Linked DNA regions of Saccharomyces cerevisiae S288C. Changing the gene in region 3 together with the main gene of any one other region gives a genetic interaction. Each region holds a gene or a part of one and is shown on either strand. Other genes may lie near its edges.

Evidence for each region.
Region 1: mutations in PIH1 (region 3) and RBP95 together harm fitness more than expected from each alone (negative genetic interaction), as found in Saccharomyces cerevisiae (3 studies listed by BioGRID).
Region 2: mutations in PIH1 (region 3) and TOM1 together harm fitness more than expected from each alone (negative genetic interaction), as found in Saccharomyces cerevisiae (2 studies listed by BioGRID).
Region 4: mutations in PIH1 (region 3) and REX4 together harm fitness more than expected from each alone (negative genetic interaction), as found in Saccharomyces cerevisiae (3 studies listed by BioGRID).

The regions. Positions count from the first base shown.
Region 1 is NC_001135.5:141,165-145,616, forward strand, and holds RBP95 (RNA-binding ribosome assembly factor RBP95), read left to right. Parts: upstream 1-2,469; coding exon 2,470-3,342; downstream 3,343-4,452. Other genes in the region: CTO1 (Cto1p), read right to left, coding at 53-1,006; CWH43 (Cwh43p), read right to left, coding at 3,609-4,452.
Region 2 is NC_001136.10:1,367,654-1,373,358, reverse strand, and holds the start of TOM1 (E3 ubiquitin-protein ligase TOM1), read right to left. Parts: upstream 3,570-5,705; coding exon 1-3,569. Other genes in the region: bifunctional K:H/Na:H antiporter NHX1, read right to left, coding at 3,973-5,705. UniProt on the Saccharomyces cerevisiae protein: Probable ubiquitin ligase protein involved in many cellular processes, such as transcription regulation, maintenance of nuclear structure, cell cycle, mRNA export and rRNA maturation.
Region 3 is NC_001140.6:176,022-180,227, forward strand, and holds PIH1 (Pih1p), read right to left. Parts: upstream 1,979-4,206; coding exon 944-1,978; downstream 1-943. Other genes in the region: YHR033W (putative glutamate 5-kinase), read left to right, coding at 1-798; GTPase-activating protein NEL1, read left to right, coding at 2,198-4,090. UniProt on the Saccharomyces cerevisiae protein: Involved in pre-rRNA processing and required for the NOP58-snoRNA interaction.
Region 4 is NC_001147.6:180,058-182,951, forward strand, and holds REX4 (putative 3'-5' exonuclease), read right to left. Parts: upstream 1,371-2,894; coding exon 501-1,370; downstream 1-500. Other genes in the region: Ras GTPase activating protein IRA2, read left to right, coding at 1-252; AVO1 (Avo1p), read left to right, coding at 1,625-2,894. UniProt on the Saccharomyces cerevisiae protein: Exoribonuclease involved in ribosome biosynthesis. Involved in the processing of ITS1, the internal transcribed spacer localized between the 18S and 5.8S rRNAs.

The DNA.
Region 1 (4,452 bases), on a different chromosome or scaffold from region 3:
CACTGCAACGTCCTGGTTATATAAATTTGAATATACAGGATTTCATCCGTTTCTACATTTTTGTTACCTGCATGATCAAATCTTTTAAAGAGTCCCAGGATTTCACAAGGTAGGCACCTTTACCGCCTTCCTTTTCACAAAACTGTAACCACGCTGGACCATTATCAGCTTCAAAACTCGAGATTTTATCCTTTGGGATACCAATAATCTTTTCGGTAATTTTTATGAATTTGGAAGGATTTTCTTGCGGGTTTATTAGCAGTACACCATTAGTAGATGGATGTAATATGGACAACAAGTCAGTCTCACTATCCCCTATATACCAATAGCTGCAAGAATTTCCTTCTTTATTGCAACCTGAGTCGATCTTATCTAATATTTCACCCAGTATCTTGACCTTATCAGAGCCTGTCAATAACCGACAATCAAATTCACCATTGTAGCTTTGAGAACACTTGTCACTAACTTTTTTTAGATCGTTACAAAAAATATGACTATTTTTAAGTCTTCTGTCACCAATGACTTCATGAATAAACTCTTTTGACCAATTTATAGATAAAACGTAAAAATCACTTTCAAAATTTTTGACAACTGAAGAGCAAAACGTTTTGAAACCATCTCTTAGTAAACAATCTTCGTGATTCTGATCTCTGGCGAACGTTTTCATTTGATCCAAAGAAATCGACTTAAAAATCTGTTGTTTTGTAATTTCATTTACACTATTTAACTCAACAACCCTGTTATGATTTTGATATTTTAATTCGTCCGCAAACAACTTATTGAAGTTAGACTGCGAAATTATCGTAGGTACGCCTGAAGATAACAACGGCAGTGATCTCGTTCCATTGTATTTGTATTTATGGTATCCGTCCATATATGTCTTGGTAAAATGACCCCACTCAGGTTTCAACCGCGGGTTCAGTAGATACGGTAATTTAGCAATGGTGCAGATTGTGTCAACTCTTGTGATTGTTTCATCAAAATCTGAAATAATAATGGTTTTCATATCCTCCACTGTTCGCTTCTGGTTACTGCAATTGTTAAATGCATTGGCTCGATTGTCAACATTGCTTTGTGCGAAGAAAGGTCGCTTTTAAAGAAAACGATAAGAACTAACCTCTAACTACATAATAATAAGAAAAAAGTATACAGATAAACAAGCTCAGTAGTAATACATAAAATAAAAAGTTTTGCAAATCGATTGTCCACACACTTCTATATCAATTCCAACTAAGAAAACGAAGGAACCGACTCAAACCGGTGTAAAAGCTAGGCTTTCAATCTCTGCTCCTCCAAACAAAACTAGTGCTTGATATCACATCCAATTAAATTACGTAAATAATTTTAGAGTGACACCATCGTACAAAGAGGGCATTAAGCTTATTTTTTTAATTCTTATGAAAAAAAAAATGTGAAAGAGAGTAGAAAATTTTCATAACGAATCTCTTCTATTCTTATGTACCGTTCCGCCAAATTTTTCATGAAAAAATTTGGGAAAAAGAAAAAAAAAAAAAATAGTATATAAAGTAAAAAAGATGCGCAAGCCCGGAATCGAACCGGGGGCCCAACGATGGCAACGTTGGATTTTACCACTAAACCACTTGCGCTAGTAATCTTGATACATGATTCGAGAAAAGCAACAATATTATGTATACGGAATATACTAGGAGTTCTCTTCAAGGATAGAGGAATCCTCAAAATGGAATCCATATTTCTACATACTAATATTACGATTATCCCTTCTTCTATTTTATATGTTTCATTATCCTATTACATTATCAATCCTTGCACTTCAGCTTCCTCTAACTTCGATGACAGCTTCTCATAACTTATGTCATCATCTTAACACCGTATATGATAATATATTGATAATATAACTATTAGTTGATAGACGATAGTGGATTTCTATTCCAACAAGAACATCCTTGAAAGGTCGACTATTAACATAAGAATAAGAGAGAGTGTGTGGCCGATGCTGTTGCTATAGCTCGGTCGTAGTTTAACACCACGGCATTATTCAGCTTTAAAACAATTGAATTATAAACCTGCTTTTCTTACTACGAAAAGTGTTTCCCTTTAATAAATCTATTGTACATACTTTACAGTTGATAGTACCTTCACCATAAAAATATGCAAACGCTTTTGTTATTGGGAACAGGAATACCAACCGTTCTCATGGAAAATAGCAAAGTGTAAAAGAATTTATTATCATCGAGTGATAAAGAATATCGCCAGATCTTTACGGATATATATCGCTAAAAATATTTGTCGCCAATAAAAGATATGTCTAACGCTCCCTTTGCAGGTAGTTTTTTACTGGCATCGCCTTTTTACTGCAAATTATTGAAAATTTTCGAGCGAGAAAAAGGAACGAAAAGAGATGAGCTAAATTCAAATATCAAAGTACTGTCATAAGTGCTTTCTTTATCGACAAATTACAAGCAGAAGAAACATTCACTTCACAATTAAATGTCCGAAAATCACGTTCCTGCCTGGAAAAGAATTGCTTTGAAGAGACAGACTATAAGCAGTGGTGACGAAAGTAAAGAAAAAGGCCAATCCAATCTAATAGATGATGATCCACTAAATATCACTACGCATTTATCCACTGGTAATTTGACAAAGAAAGAGAAAAAAAGAATCATTAATGGTGAGAGCAAATCCTCTACCAAAAAAGGGAAGCGTGTGTCGAAACCAGGGACGAAGAAGAAGGAAAAATTGTCAAAGGATGAAAAGAATTCGAAAAAAAATAAAATTCTTAAAGATCAATTACGTTACCTGATAGAATTTTTCAGGACAAAGTCTGAGAGCAAGTTTCCCACCGGAATCCTAGAATTGGAAAGTGTAAAAGAAAATTACGGCGACTCCCTGATCAAAGACGAGCCATCAGAGTCTGGTGTTGTTGAAGTTTGGAAATTTTCCAAGCAAAAGCAAAATTGGCTTATTAAGCATTTTTTCAACTTGGACGAAATCCCCTCAGTATATAATGATCTTTTGCTTTTATATTTCAGGGACTTACAAGGTAAATCAAAAGAAGAACTAATATCAAAATGCAAAGGAAAACTGAAGCAATGGAACGACTATGTGGAAGATCAAGAAACAAAAATAAAAGCGTTAATTGCAGAGGATAAGGCTAGCGAACCAATTAATGGTGAAGAAAAAGAAGAAGGTGAAAAAGACGGTAATGCCGAACAAGGGAAGCAAAAAGAGGTACAAGACGAGCAAGAGGAAGTACAAATGCCGAATAAAGAGCTTGTTCAAAGAAGTCTGAAATTACTAGAAATTTGGAAGAATGATGACTCGGAGCAGATAGAACTTAAGAATTTCTTCGTTGATGTTTAACATAGAGTTCAACAACGTTGTTCAGTTGTAGTATATATTTTACTGTGAAATACGCTCAAAAAGTAGCGGGATAAATCGTTTCAGGAAGTATAATTTCTTACAAAACTATAACAAGATCGTCTAAGTAACATACATAAAGAAATCACATAAATTTTTAAAATTCGAGGTCAAAAAAATCAGGTGGATACATAACTTACCTTAAGTTATCAAGATTTTCAGTACACACAATGTGATTACACTGATTTATAAAACCACCTTACGGCCTCTTATAAGTAATAACGTGGCTCATCAAAAACATGGTAGAAGTGACCCCTCTCACCTTCGCCTAAAAACTTATCTGGAAATTTCATGTCCTCATATTCCGGTTCACTCATATGACCGTATTCATACATAGAATCCGAGTGCTCTACTAACGCTTGCTCACTCAAAACTTGGAACTTACCAACTTGTAGCTCCGTATCGGTTATCGTTCCTCTTGCAACTCTAGCATATCCTGTTCTTCTCAAGCCCCTATACAAGATATACTCACACCATCTATCATCGTCAGAAGGATCAATGTCGTGCATTCCGGATGTTTCACTAACGTACGTATTGTAGTTGCCTTCACCTGGATCAACAACTAAGTAACTTAATAAAATAGCTGGGCGAGTCGTATTGCCCATGAGCTTAGCCATGTAGTTACTTTGCAGTCTTCTATCCTCTTCATCCTCTTCTTGTCCACTATGGAATACAAAGACGTCAACGAGAGTGTCATTGTACGTTTGAAGTGTGGCATGAATGGCTGGCGCAAGTTCCCCAACTGGAGAGGGCAATAAATGATGCGTAGAATTTACGATAGGGAATTTAGAAAGAAGAACACAGCCCCAGGTATGTTTATTTGGACCTGGTCCGAAATCTGCATACATATTCAAATCATGAGCTAGTTTGCTAGTTAGATCCCTGTTCCCCATGGTAATTCTTTGTGTATCTGTTTCTAGTAGACCTACCACATCTAGTTCCATATCTTTAATAAGGTTGATCATTCTGTCTTCAGATGCCCACATATCATTATCGAGACCAAAGTGGATAGTCCAAATACCAGCTGTAATCAACTGAGAATCTGGATGATAA
Region 2 (5,705 bases), on a different chromosome or scaffold from region 3:
TCCTTGGTATAGATGTTCACATTAGTGAATATATTTTTGAGCATACTAAGAAGTTGCTTGAAAACTGAGTAAGGCACATTACGGGACTGTGTCTTGAAGAGGCTATCCGATTTATCCAAATCTAAAATCATTGCGAGAGCCATTACCTTAATAGGAACTGTTAAAGCTTTCATAATATTATAATCGTCATCTATTGAAACGTAATACTTACCAATACTTTGGACATTCTCCATGGTTTCAGTTTGCATTGATTTGTTGTAAAAGGTGAGAGCATTAATTAAACAGCTTAAGGTTAGGATACCGTTGGACTCATCTATGTAGTTTATGTTATCAAGTGAGGATAAATCTTTTATTTTTGTCATTCTCGTAAAGAGATCCCTTATAATGTGCAAATAAAGTAAATAGCCCCCCTTTTGATAGAAAATATAAGCCGGTATTGTTTGTAATATTTCAGTGGAATTAGGGGAAGCCTTTGGAATAGTAAACACAAAGGTGTTGAAGTTTAATAAAACGAGAATATACGGTAGATGACCTTCGAGTTCGGTGGCCTTCAACATTTCAATAACATTTTCAACAACGTTCTCAAATATATGAACTTCTGTCGTCAAATCTTTATGCTCTAGATCCATATTCCTAGAGTGGCTTAACCTTAAAAAGCAGCGAAATAGAATTGCAGTATTTGATTGTAATGTATACAGTATTGTTCGCATTTGAAGAGTATTTCTCGTTTTTACGCTGGTAATTTTCCCCTTTTGATCACCCTTTTTTGGGTCATCGATATAAATTTGAAGTGGTGGTCCATCTCCGGAAACATCCACTATAGGCAACGGCATTGTTTCTGTAATAACAGAATCTGGCATATGTTGGCGTATGTACATTTCCTCCAACGCACATTTCTGGAATAGCAACTTTAAGTTTTTAATTAAAGAAAATCCTCTTTTGTCAAAATAAGAATAGATCTGCATGATTCTCTTACAAGATAAGGTAGTGAGGTCAATGTATACATTCGTAACAATGTTCAAAATAGCGGCAAGTCGACAAAGTTTTGAATGGCATGAACGCACCGAGTTTTCCCCATCTCTTTCTAAAAAGAAACTTCTATCATTTGGACTATTCAAAAAATCATTCAGGTTCTCCAATTGATCGTTCAATACTTTCATAACATCCATGAATGCGTAGTCTTCGTATTTTTCATCCAGATACTGGAGGACCTCAGTAACATTTGAGATTGCCACGGAGGTAAAGTATTCATAAGGAGGATTTTCCATAAATATTATTGCCAGAAAATCTCTCGCTTCCAGATGTTGTGGCACCTGTGAAAAAGAACCATTTCCTAAAGACATACCAAACAAAACACTGGTAAATGTGTCCAGCATAGTTCCCTTATCTAATAGCTCCCAGTATGCAGGTTCATGTTCCTCTTTATCTGTCAATATTTCCTCATTTTTTCTGTGAAAAAAGTACTTTTGATCTTTTGGTGAAGTAAAAAGAAACTCTCTTTCATTTCTAAAGGTACTTGGCATTTTTCTGATGACGTTACACAAAGCCTCCACGATATTTGCCTTTAAGTCTGGATAATGTCTTGCTAATTCATCAATGTCAGTACCATATTCCGTAGAACGATCTCCACCTGTTAATATACGCGCGTGGTCAGCATCGAGTAAGAAATCAAACAAATTGTTTATGAGACCCTTTTCTTTAACTTGCTTCAGCCCTTCTGGATTCAAGCATATGGCAGAAACGACATCTGGAAGTAAACTTAATAATTCGGCGGAAGGCCCAATTAACTTTGGAAAATTATCGATAACATATGGAATAAGTCCTGCTTCAACCAGAACAGGATAAATAGTAGGCTCACTATTTATTACTTTCTGAACTACATCCAGAGTGTAAGTTATTAATGTTAAACCGAATACAAGTTTATTTTCTAGGATTTTCTTTAATGAAACAAGTATCGGCGAATCTATTAAATTTCTAATTCTATCCCCTGAGTCTGTGCTTAATAATTTGAGAACGAGTTTCAATAAACTTCTAATATATGCCAACTCCCTAAAAGAAATTGAATAATAAACCACTGAATATTTTGGCGGTTGCCACGTCTCTGGATGTGCAAGCGTGAAATCAATCTCATTGGCGACTGAAGTGATCAGCATAGTAAACCCATCATTTTCGATAAATTCAGTGGTAGTTTCACTGTTATCTATAAATGTTTCTAGGAGATGGGTAGCAGATGCGAGGGTACGCTTATATGGGCAATTTCTTATAGATACAATTTCCAATAAAGTAGGTATTAAACCCGCGGCGAAAAGAGATTCATGCAAAGGCTTAACGTCAGCTAAATTTGATATCAAGTAAAAGAACCTCACATTATATTCTTCATCGATTTCGTCTGTCGCTTCTCTCAATGTCTTGGCAATGTAACGGAGAATCTGAAACAACAGACCATGCGATATGTTACCACCGAGATTTCTGATAATGTCTGAGCACCAGACATGCTTCAAGGATATACATTCCAATGTGAATAAAGCATCCGTTCTTAGCTCTTTTGGTATTTTGGTTTCAGACAACGATATCAAATCAGTTAGACTATTAAAAGCATACGGATCTAATTCAAATAACTTCGAGCTTACTTGAGGAGGCGAGAAAATGGTGTTAACAAATGCAATAGCATTCAGTTTTGTTTCAATAATTATATTTCTCAAATCTATATTTTCACCTGAATCATCACTGAAGGCCTTCGCCACCGAAGCTTTTATTGAGAAATCAAACCAACTTTCTGCGGGTAAAAGGGCCATACCCTTATCAAATATTTGCTGTAGTGAGTGTTCACACAGTTCTTGGGTCGTCATAGTTACCTTCTTAATGGAAGTTTGGGTTTCATTAATGTTATTTTTTTGCTGGCTTGACTTTTTAAAGTCGTTTGAAGTATAATGTGTAAATCTCAACTTTCTCCATTTTTGAGGCACTTTTTTCTTATCAAAATATAGATCGACAAGAGAAAAGTGCTCTCCGTCTTCATCCATGACGGAAGATGACAGAGATAAAGCTAGTTTGAGAGTTTTTTTCCTGAGGTTGTGATCTCCAAATATGTTATGTGCAACTATTTTTTCTCTCGCAATCACAAACCTTTCCCCTAAAATGGCTAAAATTCGCATGACCGCTAGTTTTATTGTAAAATTCGGACAATTCAGTAGATACATTAAAACATCTCCAGATGAATAAACAAACCTGTTTTCTGTATTTAGAAGTAGTCGACGAGTAAACTTTAGCATTTTCAAACAATAATCAACATCATGCGCTTCCATTTCCACCAATTTGACTTCACACTCCTTCTTGGGGTCTTGCTTGTATTTATATTTCTCTGCCACTTTTAACAACAGCCCGTCCATTCTGTCTAGAATGGGAATCCAAACATAAAGATCATCTCTGGATCGGTCCCACTCTTGGATTGCCTCAATTCTTTCTAAAAATGTGGGAGTATCACAATCAATCAAATAATCAACTAAGGGCTTATAACCAGCGGCGAGTTTCTCCTTTCTTGCCTTTTCACACCGAGTAAAAAGCACCATGAATATATATTTTCAATCAAAGGCAAAAAGTAAACTAAATATGCACTATTTTCTCACCAATTATACGAGTAGTTATGGATATTCAGTAACTAAGGTATTTGAAAAATATTCGTTGTTTTACCTTTTCTTCTTTTCCTCTCCCAAAATCATGGTGATTTAGTATCGGCTCATTAAAAGCTAGCTGAAATTCCTCATTATCACAAAGCGGCAAAACTGAAAGCAGTCGGGTAACGTGCGAAATATGATTAAATAAGATCAATCCTACTAGCGTGTATATAACAGTACATGATTTAAAATGAATAAAGTGTAGAAGGGTATTCCTTCGGCGTTGAGTAAGAGAGAATGTATAAAGACTTAATTAATATATTTATATTAGAAACAAGGAAACCATACACTTTAAAGTCTAGTGGTTTTGGGAAGAGAAATCTGCAGGTGATTGCGTAGCCGAATCTTGTAAGGATGGAGAAACGTTGTCCAAGAATACTGGCTTCAATACCTGTTCATCAAAATTTTGAAACCATTGTGAGTCGGAATTAAAGATTGTTCCCAGTTTATCTCTCAAATTACGCTTATCCATAGAAGACCTTGCCGGGTTAGGGCTAGTATTCTCAGTTTCATTAAGGCCTCCAAAAGTATTACCACCAGTTGTGGATATGTTATTGGGGAGATTCTTGTTACTGCTGACCGCGAATTGGTCAATTGAAATATCTGGAGAATTGTTGTCAGAATATGGGCCCAAATCTGTCTGAATAGAACTACCGTTCAATAAATTTATCGCCCTTGGAGCCTCTATATCAAACTCGTCATCAGATGTATCTTCTTCACTTATGCAACCAGTCTTAATATTTAAAACTTCTAACATTCCTGCAGTAGTGCCCCCAAAAATGATAACTGTTAAAACAACAACAACAAGGACCGTTGCCAATAAAGTGAACTTATACTCACCTTGAATTCCCAACGCCAAGGCGACACCAACAGCACCACGTAAACCTGCCCAAAATGTCATCATTTGGTAATTGTAGGGTATTTCATCGGGAACAGAAATATTTTCTCCGGTTATGCCGCTCATAGATCTGATTGTCTTTACTCTATATATCCAGTTAACAAATTGCGACAATGGGAACACAGCACACCAACGAGCAACACATATAGAAATAGCTGCCACAATAATTAGCAGTGGCTTATAGACTAGTTCTACTTCAGTAAAAAGTTCTAAACCTAGATAGATAAAGATGAAATTCTCTGATAATCTTGCCAATAGTTGGAAAATATACTTAATGGTGATCTGTGATCTTCTTGACATGTTATAATAGGCGTAATGTTTTAAAGTAATTCCGCAAAATAACAAGGAGACGATACCGGACATATGGCAACCGTTGGAGAAAAAATAGGATTCATAAGCAATCAACAAGATCAAACAACTCTCAATTTGAGGATAGCGCCTTATGTGAGTGTGTTTCAACAGAAGAGCAACAAGAATTCCTATAAGAACGCCTATCAACAACGAAACGGAGAAAGTCATCAAAAAGAGGCCTGCCCCTTCAAAAACCGACGAAAATGTTGCAGGTTGACCATGAAATTTTTGACAGGTTTCAAACATAACAATAGAGATGGCATCATTTAACAGTGATTCTCCAAAAATGATGGTATATAGCTTAGGATCCACTTTATACGCATTGAAAATTGAAAGAATTGTAACAGGGTCGGTAGCAGATAATGTAGCACCAACAGACATTGCATCTGCGAATGAAATGTCAATACTCTCTAGTCCTAAAAAGGTCCAGATATACAATATGATTCCAATAACCACAGCAGATATGAAGGTGCCCGGTATGGCGAAAATTAAGATAGATAACATATTATTGAAAAAGTTCACTTGATTCAACTCGTACCCACTATTTAAAATAATTGGCGGCAATAGAACATTAAAAAAGTAGGATGAATTAAAAGTAACCGTATCTTGAATATAATGCCCGGGGGACATCCTTATTATCAAGCCAATAACCATACCATAAAAAATAGAAAGCACAGTTTCATGCACTGCCCTAATTCGTTTCTGAGTTAAATAGTAACTAGACCACAATGCAGAGATCAATAGGAGCAACATAATGAACAATGCCCATGAAGAGAACATTT
Region 3 (4,206 bases):
GCTCTTGTAGGGGCGGATTTCCTGTTCTTGCTCACAGATGTGGACTGCCTATATACAGACAATCCGCGCACTAATCCGGATGCTCGTCCTATTGTTCTCGTGCCAGAGCTATCAGAGGGCCTTCCGGGCGTCAACACTTCCAGTGGTTCAGGCTCCGAGGTTGGCACGGGCGGAATGCGCACCAAACTCATAGCCGCCGACCTCGCCTCTAATGCCGGTATCGAGACTATTGTGATGAAGAGCGACCGTCCAGAGTACGTCCCGAAGATCGTTGACTACATTCAGCATCACTTCCGCCCTCCGCGCCATATCGGAAACGGCACACAGCAGCAGTTTCTCGATCTTCAGGATACGGAGCTCGAACAGTTGCGTCGCTACGATGTTCCCATGCACACCAAGTTCTTAGCTAATGACAACAAACACAAGCTTAAGAACAGGGAATTTTGGATTCTGCACGGGCTCATTACCAAGGGCGCCATTATCATCGACGAGAACAGCTATGATAAACTTTTGTCAAAGGATATGGCTAGTCTGACTCCAAACGCCGTGATCGAAGTCCGAGACAACTTCCACGAACTTGAATGCGTTGATCTCAAAATAGGCCAGCGGTTACCCAATGGCGAATTGGATATCTCGAAGCCGATTCAGTCTGTTGGATGCGTCCGCTCCAATTATACGAGTCTGGAGCTTGCGAAGATCAAGGGCTTACCCAGTGAGAAGATTCACGATGTTTTGGGCTACAGTGTGAGTGAATACGTAGCACATAGAGAAAACATCGCTTTCCCTCCGCAATTTTGAGAATATTCCCTTTTTTTTACCGGATTAAAAAAAAAAAAAAAAATTCTGTTATAGATGCACATCATATCTCTCTCCTTTTTCCCGCTTTTATATATTCGTTCGTATTAGTCACAACAAAAACCAAAAGAATACTCGAAATGTTAGTTTATATATATATATATAGTGTGCGTTCTTTGCGGATATGGAAAATCTTGATATCTGCTGCATTCACGACTATGTCGCGCGGCAAAGGTATGCTCAGCTTACCGTTAATGTATAAAATATTCTCTGCGAAGTTGTAGCTCGGAGAGAACCGGTCCGGCTTCGAGTTCGGAGCTTTGTTCTCAATAAGAATTCGCAGCTTGTAGGCGGCCCCTTTGAACCTCTTCATCTTTACCTCGTATTCCGGCACGTCCTCCTGCTGCTCGTGCGGTGCAGGTGCAGGTGCAGGTGCCTGTTTCAGGTTTCTGTGAGCAATCTCGTTCTTATCAATCTCCTCTATCTTGGCTCCGGAGATTTTGTTCTCGATAGGGAACAATGGTGGTAGTGTTCCATCGTCGGGATCATTATTATCATCGCCATCGTCATTCCTTCCTCTCAATATACTCATCGGGTCTCCGGCCTCCTCTTCTATGATTTTATGCATTTTTGCCTTGTAATCTTGATGTAACTCATCATTCAATACCTCTAGTGCAGGAAGCTCAGCGCCCTTCTTCTTCATCTTGGGGAATGCAATGCGATCTCTGCACAATACCACCGAATCTCGGATCTCACATGACTCCAAGCACCATTCGACCAGTATCTCTCGCAGTTGGATATCATCGCATATCCAGCGCGAGCAATCGCTATTTATGCAGCAATCCCACACATAGCACTCCTGCCCCTTCTTGTCATGGTCCATGCGGTAGCAGGATGTAATAATAGGAATCTCCCATTCGTTTTGGATGATGAGCGGGAACACTATCCTTGCATTAAAATCGACCTCAGGTTTGGGCACTAACGGAGAGTGACAAACATTGATGAACACCTTCCTGCCATCTTGCAGTTTTTCCGGCCCATTAGCGGATAATAGTTTTGTCTTAATTACAAAATCTGCGATGGGCTCAATTTTAGACACCGATCCGTCTGCAGCGTCCACCGACACGTACTTGTCCTCGTTTCTATGACGTTGCTTAATTGGTCTCAATAAGAAATCGGCCATCGGTTAAGGTCTGTTTGTTCGCTTTGAAAAGTCTGTTCCCTGTATTCCTTTTTCTTCCATGCATATGAATTCAAGAATTCCTAGTTTTTTTCTATCATTATTGTCTTCTGATTTTTTTTAAGGAAAAAAAATATCAAGAGTAAAAATAGTGATCAGGTACTGAATCCTGTATTTGTACAATACTGCAATCTAGCACCAAATTTGGCCAAGGAAGTGCCTATGTGTTCTCCAACTAATTTCTTATATGAGCCCTTTTCCAGCGATGCTGTGACGCAGAACTATGACCAAAATCTAAAATGCACCAAATGTGGCGCCTATTATTCGATGGCTTGTTCCCTACGAGAACAGAATGTTTGGACTTGTCTATTCTGCAACCAATCAAACTCAAATGCTGAATTGCCACTGGTACCTTCCAACACCTATACATTGACTTCTGCAAAGAAAGAAATACTTTCAAGACGGACCATTATGATTATAGACGCTATTTGCGATCCTCATGAGCTAAATTATTTAGTTTCCATTCTATGTAATAATTACATCACAAGACAACAAGAGCCACTATCAATAATTACTATTCAGCAATCAGGTCATGTGATTTTACACAATGCTGTGAATCACAGACGTGATGCTGTATTTTCAATAAATGAATTTATGACCAAATATAATCTTGATAAATTAAATGCCAGTTACTTCGAGAAAAAAATTTCAGAAATCAATCAAGAATCATACTGGTTTGATAAATCTACTCAGGGTTCTTTAAGAAAATTGCTACGGGAAATATGCAAGATTGCAAACAAAGTGAATATCAGTTCTAAAAGGGACAAGCGTTGCACCGGATTAGCGCTGTTCGTTTCATCCGTACTGGCGTCTCAGTGCAGTTTGTCAGCCTACTGTCATATAGTTTCATTCCTGAATGGTCCATGTACTAAGGGTGGCGGCAAAGTTATGTCAAGAGAACGTGGTGAAAGCATGAGACAAAACCACCATTTTGAATCCAAAAGTTCACAATTGCAACTATCAAAAAGTCCGACAAAATTTTACAAGAAAATGCTTGAAAAATTTGCAAACCAATCGTTAATCTATGAATTCTTTATAGCTTCATTGGATCAAATCGGTATACTCGAAATGAGTCCATTAATAACTTCGTCAATGGCAGTTTCTCAGTTTGATTCATTCAATGATGAGAGATTCGCAATGTCTTTTCAAAAGTACCTGAACTTGCGTGACCATAATGCCATTTACAATTGTCATTCAAAGATAATGACCGCAAAGAACGCTATTGTCGTTAAGGACTTCCCAAAATATAGCTTAAACCCTAAAAACCTTTCTCTACCATTAGAAATCTCACTAGGTCACAATTCAGCTGAAGCTCCTATACAGTTTCAAACCACTTTTGAAAATCAAACGGAAAAATACATAAGAATTGAAACCCTCTTATTGCCAAAAGCCAATAGATCATTTGGGGCACAAAATGAAATTGTGTTTTCAATGAAAAAGATAGCCTCACGAATTATCGATAGCTTTGCTTACTCATCCAAGCACACTAAAGAATTGATGAAGCAATTGTTTCTATTACCAAATCAAATCCGGGGAAAAGACGTAGATATGGTCAATCTGATACAGTGGTGTTATCATATATATAGGTCTCCAATTCTATCGGTTCGGAATACTTCACCTGATGAAAGGTACCTTTTTCTTCACCGAATAATAAACGCTTCTAAAGACACATGCCTTTCATTATGCAAACCCTTCATCTGGAGTTACAGTGATTTGAAACACGACTGGATCGTGTTGGATGTCCCATTAACAAGAGCCCAGATACTTCAAGATGATAAAACCACCATTTGTGTAGATGGTGGCTCGTACTTAGTTTTAAGAAGGGGAAAACTTTTGGAAAAAGAAGGTCGCGAGCTCTGTTGCAAGCTTTTAAATGACTTGCAAAGGTTTCCGCAGCCATTATATGTTGAAACTAAAACCGGTGGCAGTCAGGACCGTTTCTTGAAAAGCAAAATTATTCCCTTGGACATCACTGACAAGGAAACTCTTGGTACAGAGGATATGACATTCAATGAATATTTCAACTTGTTCACCGATCTAAGTGGAAGCAAATAACTCGCTAAATATTCTTGCTGCACTTTGCGACGCCTGTATTGGCGAAAACAAAAAGTAAAGAAAAAAAAACTTTAGATGAAATAGAGCAAAATTCCCTAAGACAATAGAAGATACAA
Region 4 (2,894 bases), on a different chromosome or scaffold from region 3:
TCGGATTGTGTTCCACTTGCTTTCGATATTTTAAACTTATTAGTGACGCATTCAGAGTCTAATTCGTTAGAAAAACTTCACGAAGAATCCATTGAACGTCTAACCAAAAGAGGTTTATCGATTGTGACTTCTTCTGGTATATTTGCGAAGAACTCCGACATGATGATACCTTTAGATGTAAAACCTGAAGATATCTATGAACGTAAGAGAATAATGACAATGATTTTATCAAGGATGTCATGTTCTGCTTAGAGGTGTTACATAAACTAATGAAAGAAATATCAATATCTATCTGTAAGCATGAATGTACATATCTCATGTTAGGGTTTTCTTATCGCTAATTTTTCGCAATTTGTTACGTGGGTTGCTTTTATACAGCTACAATTTTTATATATTCTATCGTGTAATGAATGGCTCAGTAAATTCAAGCGCCACATAGACTAATGTACATACCAATGCATTTTAATTGTAAGAATAAAAGGGGCCATTCATCTACCGTCTTAGTTGAAAGTGTTTCTGTGAATTTTTTCAAATTCCGTTTTTTCCTTTTTATATAATAGCATGGTGGCACGAGCATCTTCGACTGAAGAATGCTCACCTTCTTGAATGGAAATTTTTAAAACCTCCCTGGTTAATTTCTTTAAGCTGGGTGTTTTACCCTTAGCATACAACTTCCTGAATGGGAGGTGTCTTGAAGTGTCCCTGAGTAGTGACTTTGGGTGGGATAACATCAATGCTTCGAGATCATGCTTTAAAGCGTGCCCTACAAGAATTCTACCTTCCAGAATATCCGCAGTCTTTTTTTGAGCTTCTTTGAATGTAATGGCATTTTTCATATGCTCTGGTTTAATACCACTAACCCAAGTTCTCCATTCTACAACTTTCTCTCTTGGCTTAACAAATTCATCGAGGACGACATGTCCAAAATAATTTACGATTGATATTCTAGCTAACGCAGACTCTTTACCCTCGGGACCAACGCCTACAAATTCACAATCCATGGCGATGTATTTCCCAATTTCTTTACTCTTATTACTATTAATACGAGTATCTTCCGAAATACCCACTTTTACTGGCTCTTTAATAGTAGTACTAGTATTTGCTTTATTTGGGTTGAATTCAAACACTTTTCCCTCGAGCTTGTCTTTCTCATGCTTACTAATCTCCTTGTTCATGTTATATACCATGTCCATAATTTTACTGCCGTTTTTGCGCTTTCGAGGGGCATATTGGGTTGTACTACTGACATTTACTGTTTTGCTAACTTTCTTAACGTTTCTGATTTTCCTATTTGATTGCTTATTCTTTCCATTGGAGGTAGGATTGCTTTCGGAGGCTAATAGTGCCTGCCAGTTTGAAGAGAGAGCCATTAAAACTGTACGCTATCTACTTTATTAAATCTGTAAACGTCTATGAAGCCTCTAGAACCAGGCTTTAAATGGATTGTGGTTGCGATGAGGTTAGTTTAACTTTTGAAATTTTTCTTTTTTTTAGCCGACCTTACATATCAGCCCGCGTCAAAAAATATACGGTATAATAATTCTCAATAGATACAGGCTACTGAACAGGAAAACTAAATAAAACAGTGTTTGTAAAACCCCCACCACACCATAATAAGACGATAATGGACACGGTGACGGTATTAAATGAACTGCGGGCTCAGTTTCTACGAGTGTGTCCGGAGAAAGATCAAATGAAAAGAATAATAAAACCGTACATACCCGTAGATGAATTCAACACAGAGCAGTGCTTAGATTCTTCTATCCGTGAATTATATATGAACTCAGACGGCGTAAGCTTGTTACCTGAACTAGAGTCTCCACCGGTATCTAAGGATTTTATGGAAAACTATGCTTCATTAGGGAAAATGAGGATAATGAGGGAGAATGAAGGCCAAAAAGGAAAGGCTAACCAGAATTTAATAGGAGCAGAGAAGACTGAAAGAGACGAGGAAGAAACACGAAATTTGCAAGATAAAAGTGCAAAAAATACTCTGATAGTTGAAGAAAATGGAACACTTCGTTATAATCCACTTAATTCATCTGCGTCGAACTCTCTTTTAAATGATGACGACCATACCAGTGGAAAACATCACAAAACTTCCTCAAAGGAAGACTCATATTTAAATAGTTCGATGGAAATGCAGAAGAAATCTAGTAAGAGATCGTCGCTTCCTTTCGTGAGGATATTCAAAAGTCGAAGGGACCACTCAAATACTTCTGGAAATAAAAATGTCATGAATACAACTAATACAAGAGCAAAATCATCTACTTTGCATCCACCTGGTGCTCGCCATAATAAGAAAGGCAGTAAATTCGATATGAACTTCGATTTCGATGAAAACTTAGAAGAAGAAGATGATGACGACGACGATGACGAAGAAGGTGACGATATACACTCTCAATTTTTTCAGTTAGATGATGATTTTGATGCTAAGGGTTCTGGAGCAAGTCCAGCCCACAAAGGCATCAACGGCATGTCCAACAATAAAAACAACACCTACACAAATAACAGAAACAGCATCAGCATTCTTGATGATCGAGAGAGTTCAAATGGCAATATAGGAAGTGCTTCAAGGTTAAAATCTCATTTCCCCACAAGTCAAAAGGGGAAAATTTTTTTAACTGACAATAAAAATGATGGACAAAAATCTGATTCACTGAATGCCAATAAAGGTATACATGGAGATGGAAGCAGCGCCAGCGGTAACGGATCGGTGAGTAGGGACGGTTTGACGGAAACGGAAAGCAACAATATTTCCGATATGGAATCTTATATCAATGAAAAAGATTTAGATGATTTGAATTTTGATACAGTGACCTCAAACATAAACAAAACAGTATCTGATTTGGGAGGACATGAATCTACAAATGATGGAACGGCGGTCATGAACA